4 linked regions of the Caenorhabditis elegans genome follow. The protein of the gene in region 2 interacts with the protein of the main gene of each other region in a pairwise test. Each region holds a gene or a part of one and is shown on either strand. Other genes may lie near its edges.

The links.
Region 1: the proteins of lsy-2 (region 2) and drap-1 interact in a two-hybrid assay, tested with the Caenorhabditis elegans proteins (one large-scale study listed by BioGRID).
Region 3: the proteins of lsy-2 (region 2) and mys-1 interact in a two-hybrid assay, tested with the Caenorhabditis elegans proteins (one large-scale study listed by BioGRID).
Region 4: the proteins of lsy-2 (region 2) and dpff-1 interact in a two-hybrid assay, tested with the Caenorhabditis elegans proteins (one large-scale study listed by BioGRID).

What each region holds. Positions count from the first base shown.
Region 1 is NC_003283.11:9,730,134-9,734,650, reverse strand, and holds drap-1 (Transcription factor CBF/NF-Y/archaeal histone domain-containing protein), read right to left. Parts: upstream 2,693-4,517; 5' UTR 2,487-2,692; coding exon 2,414-2,486; intron 2,137-2,413; coding exon 1,895-2,136; intron 1,846-1,894; coding exon 1,222-1,845; intron 1,118-1,221; coding exon 1,061-1,117; 3' UTR 629-1,060; downstream 1-628. Other genes in the region: cal-7 (EF-hand domain-containing protein), read right to left, coding at 347-414, 458-548.
Region 2 is NC_003284.9:2,087,733-2,093,766, reverse strand, and holds lsy-2 (Zinc finger protein lsy-2), read right to left. Parts: upstream 4,064-6,034; 5' UTR 3,968-4,063; coding exon 3,941-3,967; intron 3,763-3,940; coding exon 3,622-3,762; intron 3,571-3,621; coding exon 3,465-3,570; intron 3,413-3,464; coding exon 3,256-3,412; intron 2,841-3,255; coding exon 2,757-2,840; intron 2,706-2,756; coding exon 2,610-2,705; intron 2,551-2,609; coding exon 2,374-2,550; intron 1,505-2,373; coding exon 1,396-1,504; intron 1,295-1,395; coding exon 1,199-1,294; intron 1,143-1,198; coding exon 1,038-1,142; 3' UTR 514-1,037; downstream 1-513. Other genes in the region: col-164 (Nematode cuticle collagen N-terminal domain-containing protein), read right to left, coding at 50-278. UniProt on the Caenorhabditis elegans protein: Involved in transcriptional regulation. Required to specify left-right asymmetry of the ASE gustatory neurons, probably acting upstream of microRNA lsy-6.
Region 3 is NC_003283.11:7,081,031-7,086,772, forward strand, and holds mys-1 (Histone acetyltransferase Tip60 homolog), read right to left. Parts: upstream 3,633-5,742; 5' UTR 3,624-3,632; coding exon 3,485-3,623; intron 3,440-3,484; coding exon 3,262-3,439; intron 3,199-3,261; coding exon 2,853-3,198; intron 2,339-2,852; coding exon 1,643-2,338; intron 746-1,642; coding exon 728-745; 3' UTR 515-727; downstream 1-514. Other genes in the region: npa-1 (Polyprotein allergen nematode domain-containing protein), read left to right, coding at 332-424; VC5.2 (Laminin EGF-like domain-containing protein), read left to right, coding at 5,002-5,424. UniProt on the Caenorhabditis elegans protein: Probable catalytic subunit of the Tip60 chromatin-remodeling complex. Plays a role in acetylation of nucleosomal histone H4 and perhaps also H2A, probably acting as a component of the Tip60 histone acetyltransferase complex.
Region 4 is NC_003281.10:5,902,796-5,908,103, forward strand, and holds dpff-1 (Zinc finger protein dpff-1), read right to left. Parts: upstream 3,328-5,308; 5' UTR 3,321-3,327; coding exon 3,238-3,320; intron 3,112-3,237; coding exon 2,858-3,111; intron 2,820-2,857; coding exon of another isoform or gene 2,808-2,819; coding exon 2,602-2,807; intron 2,553-2,601; coding exon 2,450-2,552; intron 1,658-2,449; coding exon 1,568-1,657; intron 1,521-1,567; coding exon 1,288-1,520; intron 1,237-1,287; coding exon 1,087-1,236; 3' UTR 768-1,086; downstream 1-767. Other genes in the region: ER lumen protein-retaining receptor erd-2.2, read left to right, coding at 4,263-4,454, 4,499-4,741, 5,189-5,308. UniProt on the Caenorhabditis elegans protein: Probable transcription factor, involved in meiosis and stress protection.

The sequences.
Region 1 (4,517 bases), on a different chromosome or scaffold from region 2:
GAGATGCAAATTGAGTTTTCAACGAATATCAATAAGAAATTTTCAGCTATAGGTACAACTTTTATATTGACGACGCTCCTACTAATTGGAAGAGCCAGGAGAAACATTTAAGAGTTTATGAAGTATGAAAAATAACTTCATGCACTCGAGGCGTGTTCGCCTCTTCACTCACCCTACTGAAGGGCGCGAGGAAGGCGAGTGGGAAGGCGGGAATAGGCTCCCCGTGACGCCTACACTAGGTGGAATGTCTATTTGATCCGGTTCTTAATGATATAAATGAGTAGAAAGTTGGAGAAAAGCACCACGTGAAAAGCCAAGTTTCAACAGTAACTACAGTAATCCTCACTTCAATCAAACCATCAGAATCCTCGTCAAACATCTTGAATACATCGAAAAGACGACGTCGAATATCTTCTGAACTTCCTTTTTTGTTTAAATTGGACAAAATATTACAAACCAACAATTACAGAATCTACTTCTTCTTTTTGGCTCTCATTTTCCCCTTCTTCTTCAATGTTTAATAAATCTTCATCTTCGCTCAGATCCATAATTTAGCTGAATACTAATATAATGTAGATCGCTCTAGTTGTTGCGCGAGTTTAGTGGTCTTTTCTGTCGGAAATATACGTTTTCTGGTTGAATAATTTTTATATTAAATACTACAAAAACGGAAATTGAATTCTAAAGCATGACAAATATAAAAATGAAGAGAAAAATTGAATTAGAGAGACAAAGAGCAAAACAAGTTAAACATATGACAGAGAACATTTGGAAGGTTTAATGAAAAGCGACGAGCATCCTGATTTATGAAGGTGTGGGTCGGTAATGGTTCATATTGGGAGAACATCGAAGTGATTAAATTTTGATTTGCCAGTGAACGACAAAAAATGAATAAAACAAGAGAAATAGAGAATAGGGTAGACCCGGTGAGGATTTGTTTTTTTTTTCTTAACTTGGAGCAATAGAAAAGGAGAAATTTAGATCAGAAATGGAGGGCAACGAGACCATTGAAAAGTACACGATTAGGAGAAGAATAAAATTTCTCATAGAGAAGTGAGGATCACGGACGGCCAATAGGCAGTGCTGGAGGAGGCATCAACTCGCGATCCTTGTCTTCCTGAAAATGATAATTTTGCTTTAGATCAAAAGGATCACAGAACCGTAAATCAAATTACATCTTTAGAACATTTTGATTCTATGTCTAAACTTTTCAAATATTACCTTGGCTATATTCCTAGAAGCTTCCTCGTAGAGATCATCATCAATACATTTTTCAGGTTTTAACTTCTTTGGGCGTCCTCGCTTTGGTCTGTCTTCTCCATCACCATCAGTAGATGCTCGTTTTAATCCTGTGAGACGTTGTCCTTCAGAATCTTTTTTCGAGTATTTGAGCATTCCTAGCATACCATTTACGAGTTGAGTTGTCGGAGTGCTAGGAGAAAGTGGTACGGTGGCTGTGAGTTCTTGAACTACTGGATAATTGGATGGAATCCCTTGAAGATAAAGTGGAAGTGGTGCTGCTGGGGATTGCGGATCAACTAAATAAGGAGAAATAGTTCCATCTTCTTGTTTCAATGCTTGTTGATCCATTTGCATCATTTGCATCTGCGCATTGGCAAGAATTGCACTAGCAAAATCTGAATTTTGTTGCTCTTGGAGCATTTGCTGTCCTCTCAATGTCATGCCGGTACGTGCAGTATTCAATTCAGATGCTTGCTGTGGAAGTGCAACATCTTTGAAGACTGATTCTAGAAATGAAAAGTGTGGAGTGTTGAGAACCGCCTGCTTCATGTGTTGAGGGTTTAGCGTCTTTGAAGATGTGAATTGAGTAGCTTCTGCGGCAGCCTCAAATATATATTCAAGGTTCAAAATAACTATGACTGAGTCTTCTCACCTGTAAAAACTTCTCCGCAAAATGCTCCATTGCTCTTCCGATGCTGACAGGAACTGACTGAACCATTCTTCCGATATCCTCATCACTTTGCATAACCTTCTTTATGCGTGTTGGCTGAATTTTTGCAGTGCTGAAACGACGTCTTCGGATCACAGCAGCTGCCTGTTGCTGCTGTTGGTTGCTGCTACCTGTTGATGATGAAGCACCGGCTGATGAAGTGGATGCCAACGTTGACATTTTTTCTGAAAAATAAATTTAAATAACGATTTGATCCTAATCTGTTAATTCTTAGATATTACATCTACAAATTGTTTTAAGTCGCATATTTTTTGAAGTTTCTAGATAGTTCATGATCCAGAAATGATGCCGGATACTGACGGTTTTACCCAAAACAAATTAAGGGTTTTTGAAAATAAATAAGCTTTCATTTTAAGATTTTATGAATGTACGTTTTCCGATTATCTATAATCGAGTTTCTTTTTTGTTCCATCCACCCTAAAAGATAAGGTCAAAACTAACGAGTAGCCGATGCATAATTGACGGGTAACATCGGCACCGCAAAGCCAACATCGCTTCCTCTATTCTGATCCATCTTGTTTTCTCCTCTCTCGAAATATGTATTCTCTGGTTTCCTTCCAAAAGTGTCAGTGTCTCCGACGGAAACGTTGCTGACGAGAGAAGACGATGTTGTGGAGATTTGGAGGCACAAAATGAGAGAGAGAAAGAACGAACAACGGGTGGTTTTCGAGAGATATAGAACTATTCCGAAGACGTCATCGATGATGGGCCTGAGACTAACTGAAAGTTGGAAGCTACTGTATAATACTCTTGAGGTAAAGCGATGAAATGAGAGATTATTGAACCATGAAAGAAGGACATGATGTTTCATTCATAGAAGCTCTCTTAACAACTTTGGAAAAGACATTTAGAGCCCATGAATAATCAACGCAAACTTTTTTTTCTAAAATTAATGGTCACTATTTGATATTGATTGGAATTATTAAAATATTCTGTGCTCAGTAACAAAGGGATTCAGATAATTAGATTTTGTTATATTTCATTTCCCGTTAGAGCAACTCCGTTTCGCAACAAGTGTGTTATGTTCTATATGTTCTGTATGTACACAGCCGTTCGGGTCTCATCGATCACTATAACAATATAGATCATCACATCAGTACAACAATTGATAACAAAAAAGAGGCGTGATGGTATCTTCCTTTTTTCTATTTCTCGCTTTCATTTTGGTTATTTCATTCTTTAATGATAACGCCATTTATTCCATTCTGCGTCGTGTCGATTCGATTCGATGTCAACGCACACACACACACTTACACATCTACTGGCCAGGACTGGAGGAGAGCGCGTAAAGACGAGTGATTGAGCGCTTCGGTGAGGAGACGAGAGAATCTAAGGGAAATAGTGTATAAAGAGGAGATAGAAGGGGGAAAAACGGAGAATAGGAGCAGAAAGGCGCTGGCCGATCACACGCAGACCTCGCGTTCTTCCCTCCTTTATATACAGCGGACAAATCGGTGATTCGCAGGTCTGCGCGACTACGGTACCCGCTGCTTGTTCTGCGTCTCCACGTGTCGTTTCACTACCTTTTCCCCCTTTTATTTAGCGTGCGCCCGCGCCGCGCCGATGTTTGAGAGTCTTTGATGCAGCTGTACGGGCCGAGATGAGAGGGAAGAGAAGATGAGAGAAGCAGAGAGTTGAGGGAAAGAACATAGACTCCTCCTCCGCATACTCGATTTGTATGTTTTTGTGTGGACAGACGGACAGATGGATAGATGGCTGATTTGTCAGCTTGCCGTCGAATTATTGATTGTTCTTTTGTGAAGCAAAGTCGAGATATTGAAATGATGAAATTATCTTAACTGTTCAGTATTTGCATAAAGAATTATTGAACGGATATTTTTGCAATTGTTGCCTATGAGGTGATTGAGATCTTTTTGCGAATTTTTATTCTCCAATTTACTAGAAAAAAAACTTAGAGGCAAATTTGCGCAAACATTTTTAAGTTCAGACCAGGATGGGCGGCAAAAGAACATTTTCGGCAAATATATTGATCGACATTGATCAAGTTAAAAATTTGGCCAAATGTCTTGTGCACATTTAAAATATTTTGAAAAAAATCTACAAATGAAAGAAAATTTAATTCGTACAGCAGTGAAGTTTTTGTGGCAAAAGATTTATCTAATTTTTCTTTGTATATTAACTTATAAAAATTTACAGATTTTCAGATTTTCTTCTTGGATATGAACATTTTTAGAGAATTTTCAATTTCCCAGCAATCGGCATTTTTGGAAATTGATGAATTGATGAACTTTCGATAACTCAGTATTTTCCGCAATTGTTTAACTGTCAAAATAGCGAAATTGGAATTGTCGCCCAGCTGGTTCAGACTACTTAGAATTAATAGAAAATGTGATATCTTTTCAGAAAAAAAAATCAGAAATTCAGTCGACGATTGAATTCAACATTGTTTTTCGGAAAGAACGAAATTGAACACGAATTTACTATTTAATTATGCAGAGTTTTTTAGTTTATCGATTTTCAATATTAAATTTTAACCAATAAAAGAACTCACCAGTGACAATTGGCTGCTGCTGAAGTCTCAAAT
Region 2 (6,034 bases):
AATTTTCATTTGTCAAATATTTTCAGATAACGTTAACATCTGCACTTACATGTTTGTCTTGCAACTCTGCGGTGGCTTTCATTCGTAACAAGCTCCTTCCAGAGCACATTCGAAGTCTCTTCAAAACCAGTTTTTGCAGTTTCCAGTTGAGCAGTCATGTCTCCCATAGTATAGAAAAGGACAGGAGTAGCAGTTACCATAATCAAGAAAGCACTTCCAGAAAGAATGACTGCAAATGAGACAGTCGACGAAGACGACTCCATAGTTTTGTAACTCATTGCTCGAAACAAACAATGGAGAAAAACTTGGTTGATGAATGTTGTACCCCACTACCGTCTTATATACAACATGTGTTATCTAAAACTCTGATCGGTATGTTCCGGAAGTTGTCCTACTCCTTCCCAATCTTCACTTCAAACCACTTTCATTTGTATTATCTGATCCTTGCTACCGCTTCAACAAGTTTTTGCATTTGCATATTCTGGATACCAGGCTATTCATTCCATTTTGTTTCAAACGTATCAAAATTTTATTATTCACTCCATAAATTGAATTATGACACTTCATATTAATCGAACACCTATACAATCGGCTCAAAAGAGAAGAATATATAAAAATAGACGAAATCAGGCAACGGGAAAAAAAGGTAAAACAAACAAAGACTACTACAACGACTATACAAACTCCTCAATAGGTTATACATTAGGTTATAATAATAAAAAACAACGGATTACAAATGGAAATAAGGAGCAAGATATCGCTGGTGTAGATCAATGCCAACAATGATAAACGGCATGCTTACAATTTTGGAAAAAAAAATGATTGAAAGAGCAAGTCTGTCTGTCAATGGGTAGGAAATCTTCAAAAAATACTAATCCCCGAGGTAAGAAAAGAACCAAAAAAACAAGAAGAAAAAAGTACCCCGTTTTGAAAAAGGTGAATAAGAGAAGTTGAAAGAAATGTCATCGAAGGCGTCAAAAATGGGTAAGTGCGCAAGCTGAATTACTCTATCTAAGCAACAATAATAATAATCAATTTCAAATCAACTGTGGTTCCATCATCTGCTGGCCAAAGTTTGCGCCAAACAGCATTTGAAACTCGTCATTCGTTGGTACCAAAATTTCCGGATCTGCTGGCTGAGGCTGAAAAAAAAGTGAGCTTTAGTTATTTGTTCAAATATTAACTTTTGTAAACGTACAACAATTTCTCCAGTTTCAATCAAACTGCTAACTCGCGTGTGGTAGCTCATGTGCTGATTGTAGCTGGCCTCGTCAGCAAATGGTCTATAGCATTTCTGAAAAAATATATATTGTATCGTAAATCCAACAATAATAACAAATTTTCAATCATCCCACAGACAGAAAACCACTCAAATTACAACGTTATAGAACTCACTTCGCAGAAAAATTCAAGACCCTCCCGATGATTTTCGTGTTCGAGTGTGTGATGGCTGACACAATCCATTCTGGTCATGAATTGAGACTTGCACACTGGACAATCATGGCTGAAATTAGGTAGGTTTAATGAAAATTTTAATTTAAACTGTGTAATGTGTTCTCTTCTATTATAATAGTTCTATTAGTTCTATTAGTAATGCACTGCTCGATTTTGGGAGCTTACAACTCAGTTGGTTCAAAAAAATTCAATAAGTATACAAACCCAGGCATATATTAGGAAATGAATCGCACCATGGGTGTGCGGCAAATTCGGCAAATTTGCCATGGTTGTCATACTCAGTAAATCGCAATATTTTTCGAGCTCAAAGAGGGCCAAAATTGATTTAAAAAATAAACTACGTTTACTGGTTTTTGTTCGAATTTTGCCTAATGCGCGTGTGGATTTCTTCAATAAAAAATAAAAGAAACACGATGTTATGTTTACTTTCATTAGGTTTCTGTTCAAAACCATTAGTTTTGTACAAAATTTTTATAAAAATTGTTTCATGTGTGCGGCAAATTTCAGTATTTGCCGGGCTCGGCAGATTCGGCAAGTCTACATTTTTGAAATTTACGGAATTCGATGAATTCGGCAAATTCGGCAAATTTGCCGCACACCGAGCGCTTTTCAGATATTATACTTATACTCACTTTCAGTCCTACATTCACTTTTTGATGCTTTCTATGCTTTCAACAATCTTCCAGCCATTTTAAAACAAATTATAAAGTACGCTCTCTTTTAAGATAATAATTCAATCAAAATTTGACGAAATTTCGTAGCGAAACTGTTGCAAAAAATTTGAATTGATGTCAAATCTTTCTCAAACGCACGGAGAGCAGGTATGTATATAATATGTACCGTAATTCTGAGAATTCATGTGCTCAAACGGCATTTTCCACTCCGATTTCTTTTCAGTTCAAGGATAAATAAACTCACGTCTCGAATGCAATGGACTTTGCAATCTCGAAAAGGTTGCCCCAACGCTCAAGAGACATGTTGTTGAAGATAGTGTCTTCGAGACGTCTGATCTTGTCCTCAAGCTCAACTTGTGGCAGAAGATCTCCTCTTCTCAACTTGTCCACCCAGTGCTCTGGTTCTCCGAGTCCAAGCTTCCTGAAAAAAAACATTCGGTAATCTCACATTTTAATTGTGCATGCTGGATGTCTGCTTACTTCTTCTTCGGACGAGGCGGCGGCGTGTAGTACGGTCCTCCGGCTCCACGAAGTACGATGGCGTCGTCAGGGATGTCAGCAGGCGGCCGACGGTTGCTGAACCGAGATTTTGCCAATACTGGCGTTCCGTTTTTGTTAAGATCAAACCTGGCAAACGGCCTCCAGGCAGCTTCCAGCTCTTCCTTCGTCGTGACGTGTGTGCGAAGATGCTTCTTGAGGTTGCCTTTCAGTCTGAAAAAATTTAAAAAATTTGTTTGTTATTTCTCGTATCGCCTAAATAATTTTTGTTGATTATATTTTTGTGTTTTCTACCCGCAACATTTAGATTACTGTCACGAGTGCCGTTTTGAAATGAGTACGGCATGCATCTTATCTACGCCTTTTTCACCATTCTAACACTATTTCTCTTCGTTTTATCGATTGTTCTACAGTGTCGCCTATGGCATTACGGTGTCTCTCGTCCGTCTCTTTTTCTCTACCGTTTCTCGGCCCGTACACTGTACACACCGTACTGCGCATTAGCAGAGGAGAGTCGACTGTGAGAGAATGAGAATTAAGGGGAAACGGTCGTTTTCGCAACCCGCCACATTTTTATTACTGTACATTTGAAAGAGCACAGCGAATGTTGTTTAAAAAAACCACTAACCGACAAGTTTTTCCACAATATGGACAGGCGTGAGGAGTGAAGCCGGTATGGACTGAACGATGCTCAAACAAGTTCGACTTAAACCTAAATGATTTTGAACAAATATCACATCGGAAAGGCTTCTGATCTGTGTGTATCACTGCATGCTGCTGGAGACCTGAAAACAAAATCAGAGTTAGACAAAGCTACCGTATTTTTCAAAAAATTACCTTTATAGGAAACAAATATTTTGTTGCAAACATTACACTGGTGCACAGCTCGAGGGGTCATCATTCCTTCCACCATCTCATCTTCTTCAGGAAACCCCATTTGATACTGAAATTGATTATGATGCCCCTGAAATGGTTTCAGAATTTTTTTGAGTACCTGAGAATAATCCTGCTCATCCATCATCATTTCGGAGTCATCCATGTGTTGATTGTGGTGATAAACTGACTGATTCGACCCGTGAGTCATACTGGAACTGTTGAATTCAGAGAGGGACTGATCCGCAGAATTCCGTTGACTCTGAAAGTAGAGAACGTCTAAAAAAGTAGGGAATTTATAAAAGATTCGATAAATTGAAATTTGAAAGGAGTTTATAAAAGGAAAGGTTAAAGTACAGAAGCGAAATAAAAATGAAAACATGGGTTTCAAGAGATTTCAAAAAATTTTAGAAATTTTTTTTGAAATGATATCTAGTTACCTGCTTAGCATTTCTTCTGGTTAGCATGACAAAATTTGCCTCAGACAGCTTAAAAACAGCTCGAGACTGCTAGATATTGCGAAAGAAGCGTCGAATTCAAACTATTCACCTTGCCGCCAAGTGCAGAAAGGGTTATGGTATGAGAACGATACGGTAAGAAATGCGACCACTCGGAGGGGACGCGACGCGGCCGCAGCGCAACGAGAAAACGAGACGCAGGCGCGCAACAAACAACAAGGATAGTGAGCGAGAGGACAGAGGTCACCACCGTCGCTTGCTGTTCGTGGTTTTTACATCGTTTCTGATAACTCAGCAAGTGTAGAATTTAGAAAATAATGAGTTTTTTGTGTATTGCGAGTGTTTAGAAAATTAGATATAAAAAATTAAACTGTATTTTTATATTATTTCGTAATAATCGTCATTTTTTACAATTTTTTTTTCAAAATTATAAAGTGCAAATTAAAACATTTTCATTGCAATTTTTCGGAATTTTTAAAATTGTCTTTTTTTTCTAAATAAAATACAATTTTATGAAAAAAATTATTTTAGTTTTAGTCATGGTTTGGTCGAAAACACAAAACAGGTGCAAAAATAAGCAGATGCGTTTTCATAATCTCAGGTGGCCGAGAATTGAGAAATTGGTTGCTAATTTTTGGGCTATGGCAAGTCTTAAAAATAATTTGCATCAGAAATGTTTTATTGAAAGTAAAATTAAGATTTAATTATAAATAGAAGTTAGTGCTTGGAATAGTAAAAGTCAATCAAATTATACATGATCAATAATATTTTTCCTAACATAAAAGACATGTATAATATTGTCACAGCTGCTTTTGGAACTGAACAAAACCCAGCAAAAGACTTCAACGATTTTGGCAAATTGAAAAAAGTTAAATGAAAAAATAAAACCTTGAAATTTGAAATTGGAAATTTGAATGAAAATCGATCAGGACTCAGAAAATCGCATCTATTCGCTATGAACACTATTCGATATTCGTGCAACGCCGTAAGCCCCAGACGAAGAGCAGATGTGCATCTTGCCTGCTGCTCGCACGCATCCACGCTGGCTCACCGTGTAACTCCAAGTATATTGGGAGTTGTTGTTGTTGTTGTTGTTGTGGAGGCAGACGTGGTTGTTGTGGTGTCCATTTGGAATCGGAGCAGCAAACGGCGTGTGTTGTTCATGGAAATTGGACTGGTGCTGCGGATGGTGTAAATTCATCATTCTGAATTATAAAATTAAATGTTTTCGGGTTAATGAAATTGAAAAATAAATAAAATAAGTGTATATTAATTTCGAAAAAAAAGTGTGAAAACGGTTAATAGTAGTTTAATACAAAATTAAAAAGTTAGAGATCTCTTGAATTTTAAAGCTTTAGATTAAATTTAATAAGATTTATATATTTATTGATAATTTATTGACTACAAAGCAAGTTTGTTAACAAACACAACAAAACAAATAAAGATTGACATTTTGTGAAACCTATCAGCATTTATACTATTTATAAAAATACCAATAAGTAGTGTTATATAAATTAATTTACCAAAAATAACAAATTTTTTCCAAATGTTTTTTTAAACCTGAGGAGAAATTTGTGTCTTGTTCAGTTTATGTTCATAAGTTTCACAATTCTAATTGAAAAATCTTGAGAAGGGGAGTTTTGGTGAACTAAAATAAAACAAAACGTTTTTTTTTCAAAAATAATATATTAAGCCAGAAACTCGAAAAATTAGTCTTTACAATTAGTATCAAAATTTTAAGGATACCTAAAGTTTATAGTAAGATTCCTTCAAAGTGAAGTGTTCTAACAAGAGTGTGAAAACTTGTTCGACGTCTCAGAAAAGAAGTACAATCGCCAAGTTGTTCTGGGAAATTAGATTAAGAGAAACGAGCACAAGTTGAGAAACTCCCTCTACTCAGATACTCGGCGAAGAAAAAAAAACGTGAAAGATACTTTTACCATGAAGGGTGCCATCTTGACGAACATCTGCTGAACAGCCAGCTAGTTTCCGTTCTGAGCCCTCTAACATTTGTAGGGCAATACTTTTATTTGAAAAAAAGCAGCTCACACTTGCTTCATTCGACAGATTTTTGAA
Region 3 (5,742 bases), on a different chromosome or scaffold from region 2:
CTAACGTTAGGTCTCGGTAGGAGGCGGCGAGACTGTAAATTCAAACTTTTTCACTATTTTTTCGATTGTTTTTTGTTGTTTTACATATTTTTTATGTCGAAATGATGTTTAAAATACTTGTCGTTTCGAAATTATAATATAGTCAGAAATAACCGAAAAAATAACAAATTCCTAACGGGACCCAACGTTTAGGGGCGGAGCACTTTTCGTTTTACATTGGAGCGCGCTTTCGCTTAGATTTCAAAAAACTCTATAATATACAATTTTGGATTTTTTTATTCAGATTGTTAAAAATTCGAGTCCTGAAATTAATTTTTTGAATATCTTTCAGGTTGTCACTGGCTGCAAGCATGTCTACGCCTCAACTCGTTCCCGCCGTGATCTGATCGCTCAGGCGGTTGCCGAATATCTTCAGAACGCTTAATGATTAGAAAACTTCACTTTTGCAGTTATAAACTTACTTGTCTATATGATGAATTTTAATTATTTGAACTGCAACAAGAAGATTATGAAATTCAAGAATAATTTCATTAAAAAAATAAGTGACTAATAAGTCAAATTATTACACAGAACAAATGAAATGAAATGAGGCGTACGCTCTCTGAGCGGTGTGGGAATGATAAAGGGATAGCGTAAGCTTTTCGGTGTGTAGATGCGAGATAAAACGGAGTGTTATATTTTAATGTACAGGTTGAGATCGTCGTGGCGAGAACACATGTCGTTGTTGCTAGAACATGATCTGCGCCTGAAAAAAAAGTTCATAAAATAATTTAAAGATATATTCCCGGAGACTTTTTGCTTTTGTGCCGGTTTTTCGATTTTTGGATATTTCGAAAAAAATTGCGAGAGTTCAAAAATTATTTAAAATCTGCCACTATTCTTTTTTTTAGAAGAATAGTATGTTTTGTGAAAATATTTCTATTTTTTTTCGATTAAAAAATCGAAAAAGACAATTTTTTAGTTTTTCGGAAAATCGAAAAACCGACATCCTTGTTACTGTTTAAATACCTTATTAAAACTAAAATAATTAAAATAAATTTTTCTTTTAAAACTTAAAAACATTGATTTCTATTTTTTTTTCTCATCAACATATACAAAATTTGATTTAAAAAAACGGTTTTTTAAAAATAAATTTCTGAAAAGTTTTTTTTTTAATTTTTCAGTTTTCCGGACGTTCCAGATTTTTCAAAATTACAATTTGGTTAAAATTAGGTTTATTTTTTTTCGTTTTTTCGAAAAAAAATTCGCAAAAACTGAAAGATTTGAGTTATAAATTTTTGATAAATTTAGTAAAAAGAAAAATGATTTTATTAGAAAATTTCAATTTTTTGACACTGTAAACCAGTATTTCCATTTTTTTCCTTAGTATTTAGTATTTCCAGTGTTTAGGTGTTTTTTTTTGAAAAAGAGCAAAAAACTGGAAAAAAATTGTAGGGTCAAATTTGCTCAAAAAAGTGCAATTTCTGTTGTTTGTATGAAATAGGGCGTAAACCGTTTTTTTTTAAATTTTTTTTTTGGTTCTGCCAAAAACGAAATTGTTTTTTTTTGGTTTTTTGAAAAAAAAATGTTATCACGAATTTAATTTAATTTTAATTTTCAGTTTTTAGCCGTAAACACGAATTTTTGATTGAAAAAAACTCACTCTTTTCTTTCCGTACTCTTTGGGTCGCCATTGCAGAGCTGCTGGATTAATTCGTGTCTTCTTTTTCGCAGCCTCAATCCGTTTCTCATAAACTTGACGCTTTTCATCACTAATCACAATTATGTATGATCCCTTATAGTATTTGTATAGATCAAGTTGCTGTAACGTTGACACAACATCTTCTCGTTTAATCGATGTACTTTGTGAAATGTCCTGAACTGTGATATCTTCGCCTGGATGTCGTCTTTTGAATGCGAAAAGCTCTTTCATGATGGCCATTGACCAGTACGATCGATATGAGAGAAGTCCCAAATCTGATAGTGGTTTTTCGGGTGATCCTGTCTTCTGTTCAATTTTCGAGAGTTCATAGCTGAATTCGATGAGCAAACTTCCGTATCCTTTCTTTTGAAATGGAGGTAACACAAGAATACACGCAACATTATATTCTTCAGCTGATTCTTTTTCTTTTGAAAAGTATCCAACTATATGATGACCCTTCTCGTCTTCTTCGGTTAGCACATAGAACAAAAATGGATCCGTGTCATAGTAAAGAGTCTTGTGATCCAGAAAAAGTTTGGCAAGCAGGCATAGATTCTGAGCATAGCTTTTGTTTTTGCGGCCGTCGATTTCAAAAAATGAAAGTTTATCGTGACTGTAGATTTGATTGCCAGGTGGGTGACACATTGCACATTTTTCCTGAAATAAAATTAATTAGAATTGGGCATTTTAATTAAATGATAGAAAATGAAGAGTATGGACCGAATGTAATTGTTTAAAAAATTAAAAATTTGTCTATTTTTTACGTTTTTTTTCCATTTTGCAAAATAGAAAAAGTAGCTGATTTTAATTTGAATTCCCACGCAGAATAATGGCCTATTTGCGAAACTTTTTTGATTACGATAAATTTGGTTTGAAACACCGTTTGTGAATTTTTTTTTCGTTTTCGCAAAAAAGTATTTCAAAAATGCAATTTTTGGAGCAAATTCCCAGAATTTGCGATTTTTTTCGATGCCGGAAAATTTTAAAAACATTGTTTCAAAACTAATATCAACGGAAAAAGCAAGAAAAACCGAAAAATTCAGCCAAAAACACACAAGAACTCGAATTTTTTCGAATTCACCGATTCTTTCATTTTTGGAAAATTGAAAATTTTTGAATTTTGAAAACAGTTATTTATATTCGGTCATTTTCTATAACTCGAAACACTCACCATGTGCCGTTTCAGACAAGTTTTCGACTTTAGATATTTCAGACAAAATTCGCAAATATAAATACAATCCAAACTTGTCAATTGTTGTGGATAAGGTGCAAAGTACCATGGCTGAATTCGTGATCTTCCTAGTTCAATGCATTCGACATTTCGGATCCTTGTCATTGCATCTTCACTATGGCCGACCATCGACATGGAACCTCGAAGACTTGGAGTAGATCCGCTGGTCATCGTTGAAATTGCTTGTAATGGATCTACGGATTCCGCCTTGAGATCATCCATCGGAAGTAGTGGAATCTTTCGTTTTCGGCCGCTTTTCTTTCCTTCATTTTCATTCGAATCTCGACTGAAATAATTATGAATTGATAAAACTATTTAAAATCTTTTGAAAAGTTTATAGATTTCTCACTTTTCTTCCCGCAAGTGTGCTCCTTTCTTTCCTCCTTTTTTTGGTAGCTCACACGACGCTAAATTGAGCCTATCAGACTGAACCCATTCGTCAAGTCTTCGGTTGCAATCGATATAATGGACATAGAATTTAATTGAACCATTTGCAGCTCGGCATCTTGAAATAACTTCGGCCCATCCTGAAAATAATTGGAAAATGTGTTTAAATAGATGTAAAAACTAACTTTCTTCTTCTTGTGAAGCCATCATGACCAATAACCGGCATCCCTCTGTAACTTTCTCGTATTGCCTGGGATCTGTTGGTATTTTCTTGGATATTCCATGATTTTCGTCCTCTATAATCTCCTTCTTCGGCTCGGTCATGATAAATATCTGGAAATAGTACAATTTTGTGTGAAAAATTCAATATTCAATAATATAGCAATCAAATGTGAACGATAGTACTTTCTTGCGTGCATAATCCATGAACAACATCTAAAAATCGATCCAAAAATGAACAAACTAGTTTTTTAATTTTAAAATAATATTATCCGTTGTTAGTTTTACTATTTTATCAATAAAAAACTTTAAAAATGCAAGAAATAATTGTGAAATCATGCTCGAAAAAAATAAAACGCGCCGGCTGGCCTAGAAACCAACCTCGGCCGCACTGCGCCGGCCACAGGGAAAAAGGGCGGCAATTCAAAAAAGAATAACAAGGGTGGTTGAAAATTGACCGCGGCATAACGTTTCAAGGCAATTATTTTGCGAAATGATCTTGAATTAAATTATTCGAATTGAAAAATAGTTATTTATAATGTACGATTGTACTTTCAAAAAAAAAACGATCACAAGAAAATTAGGAAAACGCAAATTTTTGAAGATGCTTAAAAAATGAACTGAATTCAGTGGTAAAATTTCAGATATCTAGATGTCCATTGCACTGTTGAGCCACGAACAAAAAAATTTAAATCAATGCTGCGCGAAAAGGTGTGCGCCTTTAAATGGTACAGTAGCCGAGTTATTGTTCACGAGATTTTCTCTGAAAAACATAATTTTGTTGAAAACCGAAATTGAAAAGCATGAAAAATGAAAATAAAACAGCAAAATTTTAGCTTAAAAAATCTAGGAAAAATCAAAAATCGAAGAAAGTTGCGAAATAAGAGAGAATGGATTACTGTACTTTTTCATCAAATTCCAAGTTTCCAACTTCAATTTTTCCTACATACTTTCGAGTCATGTGTTGCAAGAATGTATCGGTCTTGACCCTGCAAGCTTTAGATTCAAATGAATTCCTTCAATTTCAAAATTCAAATGTTACATTCAAATGTTGAATCCGGCATCATCGGAGCAACTACGAAGCACACAAAAAATCCGAAAACAAAAAATCAAATATCAAAAAGCGACAAGTGACAGGATGAGATGAAGAGACGAAGAGTTGAAAATCATTGAACTGATTGAACGCGTCACATCAAAACACCTGTTCGAACAAGATTGATAAGAGAGCCTCTTCCTCGTTTATTTTTCCTCTTTTTCTTATTATTCTTCCTTCTTCTTCTTCCCATTTTCCGATCATTATGATTATCATAACACTCGTGAAAGAATACGACCTTCTTTGTAATCTATATATCTTTTTCGTCATTTCTTTTCTCTTTCGATCACAGAAAGTAATTGATCGTCGTTTCAGGTTTACCGCCGTCTCCGTTTACTTCTACTATTTTCCATTTTCAATTAGAGAAGACGGTTTGACCCATACTCTATCATGTCACTATATTTTATACTAATTGTTACTATAATAATCCCACAATTTGAATTTATTCATTCACCTTTATCTGAAAAGGATATTGTTACATTCCGCTTCAATTTGGTAAATCGTCTTGATCAGTGCACATTATGGAGATCAAAACTAGATAAAAAAGTTTCAAATACGTTAGATCATTTTTTAATGAACTCAAAGTTTGATGAATTTCGAGAAGCATCTACACAATTAGCTGCAGATATATACCCGGAAAGTATTGACTGCCTTGACTCTTGCTCTTATGATATTGAACAATTTAATGATTTCGTGAAATCTGAAAGTTTAACTACAAAGAATGATCTTGGAGACCTTCTTGATAACGAGCAAATTTATCAGTTGCATATGCTTTTGGAGAAAACAAAACGGCCGGATATCGTGGAAAAAGGGGTGAGTTATTGAAGTTTCAATTTTAATTTTAACGATTAAAATTCTATATAACAACTTATGTTGTTTTATAATATTTTTTATGGGAAATGGATGAAAAAATTTCAAAAATTGTGTAATTGAATTGTAATTAATTTACTATAAATAAAATGTGCTAATTCCAGAAATGATCCGATGAAAAAGCTATACATTTTTTGGACAGTCTTCACAGTCTTTGACACTATTTTTTTTTAAATTATATTTTTATTAATTTTATATCAGTTTGTTTTAGATATTCTTAAAACCAATTTGAATCAAAATGAGATGATAATTTTATTTGAC
Region 4 (5,308 bases), on a different chromosome or scaffold from region 2:
AAAATAGAGATGCAAAAACAAACAAAAATGTTTTTTTTTATTTCTAAGAAAGAACACAATTGTGTAATCGATATGTGTTGTTTCAAGTAAAAGACAAAAAAGAATGGAGAGTAGAAGGGACATAAAATTGGGCGATGAATAAGTAAAATAAATGGGTGAAAGATATTGGAAGAGAGAAGAATAGAGAAAGTTATAAAATAATGTTATGGTATTTATATGGTAGTAGGTCAGATAAGATGATAAAATGATAATAAAATGAATACAAACAGTTAATTCTCTTTTTATGAAACAACCAAAGTAAATTAAACATTCTAAAACGATAATTTTAGATTTTTTAAAACTAGATATATTACCCAGATACGAAAGTTTGCAATTTTCACTTAAAAATACAGTACCAGGTCTCGACAAGACCAAATATAATCTCCACGCCCCATGGTTTTGCAATTTTATTTGTTGTAATTTTTACTCTAAAAACCTATTGGATGTGACAATATTTATCTAAAATTAAACAATTATATATATTTTTAACTAGCTTAAATGAAAGAAAACTGCAAAACAGTGGGCCGTGAAGGTTACTGTACTTCTTAAAGGTGCCTATCTCTTTTCATTTGGATATATTCGATCGTTGTAAGACCTTGTATCGTACTCCAAGATGTTAATAAAAAAAATTGTCAATTAAACTGGAAAATAGTAATTTGAATTAGAATTTTCAATGTTCCGTTTGATTCTTTGAAACTTCCAATATTGTTCGAGTTTCTTCACATGTGTTTTATTTTGAATCATAGTATTTATTGAACTTTTTTATGATAAGACTGAAATAAATAAAAAGGACGAGGAAAATGTGGAAGTACAAAAAAGAAAAGAGCGAGAAATCAAAGTAGCAGAAGGAGGGGTGAGTGAGGTTTTAGGCTGGCTTTTTAGAACAAGAATTTTTCTCTATGTATGAGCCATTACGTAGTAATAATAATACTTAAAGTTCAAGTGAAAATGAAGAATAAATAATCGGATGACGGTGTGGGAGGATCGTAAGCAAACGGGTCGAGATTATGCAAAAAATATTGGAATAAATATAATATTTGAGAACCATTACTTCTTGGCCGGTGCACTCGCTTTGTCTCCGAATTCAACTTGACATAACCGACATGAATACTCATCATCTGGAGCTTTTTCGAGCGCCGGAGTCAGACAATAAAGATGGTATCCACGATCACAGTCGTCACAGAAGAGCAATTTATCCTGAAATCCAATTAATATTGCACTTTATAAATATAATAGAAAATATCTTACATCATTTTCACTTGTACCACAAATGGTGCAACTCTTGCACTCAAGACACTGCCATCCGCTTCTTTTTATGATTTTGGTCACATTTTGATTAAAATTAAGACAGGAAGGATGACCAGAACGACCACAATCATGACAACTAACGAGATCCTCTGGCAATTTTGTATTTTTGTTCATAAAAGCAGTGCCGCTGCAGAAATCACAGCTAGTAGATATTTCTATACTGGGAGACAATACTGAAAAATAATACATTTGAAAATAGCTTGGAATGCAAAAAACTTACACTTAACCAGTGGTTGACTAGACTTTTGATCATGAAGATACGACTGATGATAGCTTAAACCCGCGAGGCTTTTGTATTTCGCGCTGCATTCTGAAAATTATCAAAAATTTTAAATTACAAACGAAAGGACTTGGGAAATATGCGGTTTGAAAAGAGTATTTTCAAATCACAGATTTCCCATTATGCCACATCATATAAGCTTCCAGGAACACTCAGTACATGCTAAATTTAGTGCCTATATTTCTACAAACTTCCTCTCGATAGACCCCGTGTCCCGGGTGGGAGAGATGTATTTTTGATCAGTTGAGCGGTTGCCGCAGGATTTTTTACTGAGGTCCCTCTCGCCCAGGTTTCTTTTACAGAGGGATAAAATACTAGGAGGGATATAAGAATGGGATATTCAGGATACATATTGGCTTATGACTTAGTGCAAATTGATAACGAGAGGAAGGAAGCTAATACATTTGATAAGATCCACAATTATGTGAAGAAGTACTACAAATCACACCACTAATTATGAAACTAATATTAAAAAAAGATCATACATAATCTTCCAAAATTTATTTTTTAGACCAAATTTCCCATTTTTTTGATTTAATTTTCCTTGGATCTCTGGAGAAACATGCATAATTAAAAAAAAAACTAAAGCATGCAAAAACATAAATAATCTCGTGCAATTTCCAAGCATCCTAATTTTTTGAAAAATCTCGAAACCGAATGAATCAAGATACGAAAAATTAAACTAAAAATCATGATGATAGTGTTCCCGGTAACTGACATGCTGTGGGCGATGGGGGAGGCAAATAAGACTAAAAAGGACAAGAAGAATGGTGTGTTCTCCTGGGCGAGAGGGCTTCGCTAATCCGCCGTACAACCACTCACTGTCACATGGATACGTCTTCTCCTCCGGTTCTTCATATTTTGTTTCCTTCACTATGGAACGAGATGGGGTCAATCGAGAGACAGAGGAACGAGTTGTTGGTACCTAAACAGTCAGAATAAAATTATTTAAACAATTGAATAAATAAAGAAACCTTTTTACGTGACGAAGTTGCTTTCTGAACAGGCCCCAAGTTGCCTTTACGGCGTTTACGCGACGACCAATCATCTTCATCGGAGCCAAACTCGTCTGGAGAGAGCTCATCGTCAAGAACGTAGTCATCACGATATTCCTCTTTGATCTGTGTTTGGCGGGATGGTCTGATGGTAGTTGAGTCGTTCGAACTATCAGAAACACTTTCTGCAAATCGAACTACAAAAATTAGGTTGAATCGTTCTGATGCTTCTCACCAGTTGTTGGTCCGACAACTTGTGGAGTGAGATGATCAATTGCAACCTGAATAGACGGATTCTCACGCAAAAACATGCTCATCTCAACAGCATCAGATGGTGGCTGTGACTTGCTCTTCTTCCATCTCTCGGTTGCGAATTGAACAACAGTATTTGGATCATTTGATGGATACATGTGATCCACGTTGCGGGTTGTGAAGCGAGACTCTCGCTGGGCCGTAGCCGTTTGATGTTCATAGTATGGGAACCGCAGTCTGCAACTTTTAGGGGCTTAGTACAACCAAAAAATAATTCCTAAATGCTCTAAAGATTTATCATTACTTAGATTATTCAGATTTCAAATGGATCTTTTTTAAGTAGCCGAAACATCAATAACTAACCGTTTTTTACGATCCTCCATTTGCCGGGAATTCCATTTAATGCAGTTCCGCATCAGGTCCATATATCCGTTTTCCGAGATCATTGTCTGTAAGATTAGCTGTCTTGGATTATTTTTAAACATTTTGATAGCTCAAGAAATCGGGCGCCCGGTGTGAACAAACAAAAAAAACAAGAGAATGAATGAACACTGATCGATAAATTGGACAGCTGCCGATGTACGCAAACACCAACACGCGAAATTGCGTATTGTCCAGCGTGGACTCGTTGGCTGATGGACCTTTTGGCTCGAGTTTTCTTCTTCGTTTCCGGCCTAAAACGTTTCGTTTTTCAATTAAACAGTTTAAATTTTTTGCGATAATTGATTAATATGTAGCTACGCATTATGTGAATACCAAAAAATGGTTGAAAAGTTCATGTAGGCCTACAATTTTAGAAAATCTAGGTCTTTCGAAAACAAAAAAAAAACATTCGGTATTCAGAACGTTCGAACAAAATGCTCTATTCAAACATTCTAGTTTTCATAGAATATTTCCATGCATTTTACCTAGCGAATCGAAATGTTTGTTTTTTTGTTGAATGCAGGGTTATGTGTTTTTTAACTGTAAATACACGTAGTTTTTGCATTCAATGTTTAAAAATTTTGTCTTTATGTTTTAAGTTCCATTTTTTAGTTTTTTTCAGTAAACCTTTTTAGCTTCGTTGCGTTGTATTTGCATTTTTCAAAATTCCCACGTGGCACATTCAGTGCTGGCTTTTATTGCACTCTTTTTTGTCTGCGAAAGGAAAACTCTAAACCATTTCTGTTCGTTCTCCGGAACTTTACCGTCCATATAATATAATTTTCTCTGTTCCCTATCACTCTATCCGTTATCTTTTGATAAACAACGTTGACCTCGATAATTGAAAACATACCCATTCACTGGAATGAATAGGTGTTTTCCAATTCATTTCATATTTGCGTTTTCTTTTCTTTACCTGATGTATGTATCTAAATTCTCAAAGTATGATAATTTTTAGGGTCATCATGAACATCTTCCGTATATCGGCAGATATGTCGCACTTGCTTGCGATTATCATCCTTCTGCTCAAAATCTGGAAGAGCAGATCGTGCTCCGGAATCTCTGCGCGGTCGCAGATTCTGTTCGCTCTCGTGTTCACTGCTCGATACTTGGATCTTTTCTCCACATACATTTCTTTGTATAACACTACAATGAAGGTAACTTTCTGTCCGTAACAATTATAAATACAATCAAATTTCAGATCACCTTCCTCGCCGCTACGTACGCCACAGTGTATCTGATGTTCTTCAAATTCCGCTCAACTTACATGCGCGAGTCGGATACCTTCCGTGTCGAGCTTCTCATCGTCCCAGCTGCGATCCTCGCTCTTCTCATCAATCACGATTTCGCTCCATTTGAGTTGCTCTGGACTTTTTCGATCTATTTGGAGGCTGTGGCCATTCTTCCACAACTCTTCCTTCTCCAGTCTACCGGTTCCGCTGAGGTAAATCTGGAAAATAATAAATAATACAATAAATGCGCCAAATTTGACTTCAGCGTGCAAAATTTTCCCTCTCAATTCGACATGCCGTAAAAAAGTGTAAAATCCAGAGATGGCAAAATTGGAGATAGTACAAGAAAATTGTTGTGCTTAGAAATTGTCGTTTCTCCCGATTCCAACCGTTTTCCCCGTATTCCGAATTTCGCGCACATCTCCGCTGTAGTCCAAATTGATTCGTCAGCCTTTTAACTTTGCTAATATAACAACCTGATGAAATTTGACTGAAAGTTAATCCATTCTTTTCATAAGTTTTACTGTGTTGTTTGCAAACACTCGACATCTTTTTTTCTTAATTTCTTTTGGATTAGACATTTTGGTGTAGAGACGCAGACACCAGGCCACAAATTGAGCCTTCTATCTCTCTCCCATATTCATCGTTTCTTCTTCCAGGTCATCACTGCTCACTACTTGTTCGCTCTTGGCTCCTACCGCGCTCTCTACATTTTCAACTGGATTTACCGCTACTACACCGAGGACTATTTCGATCCAATTGTCGTTGTTGCCGGAATT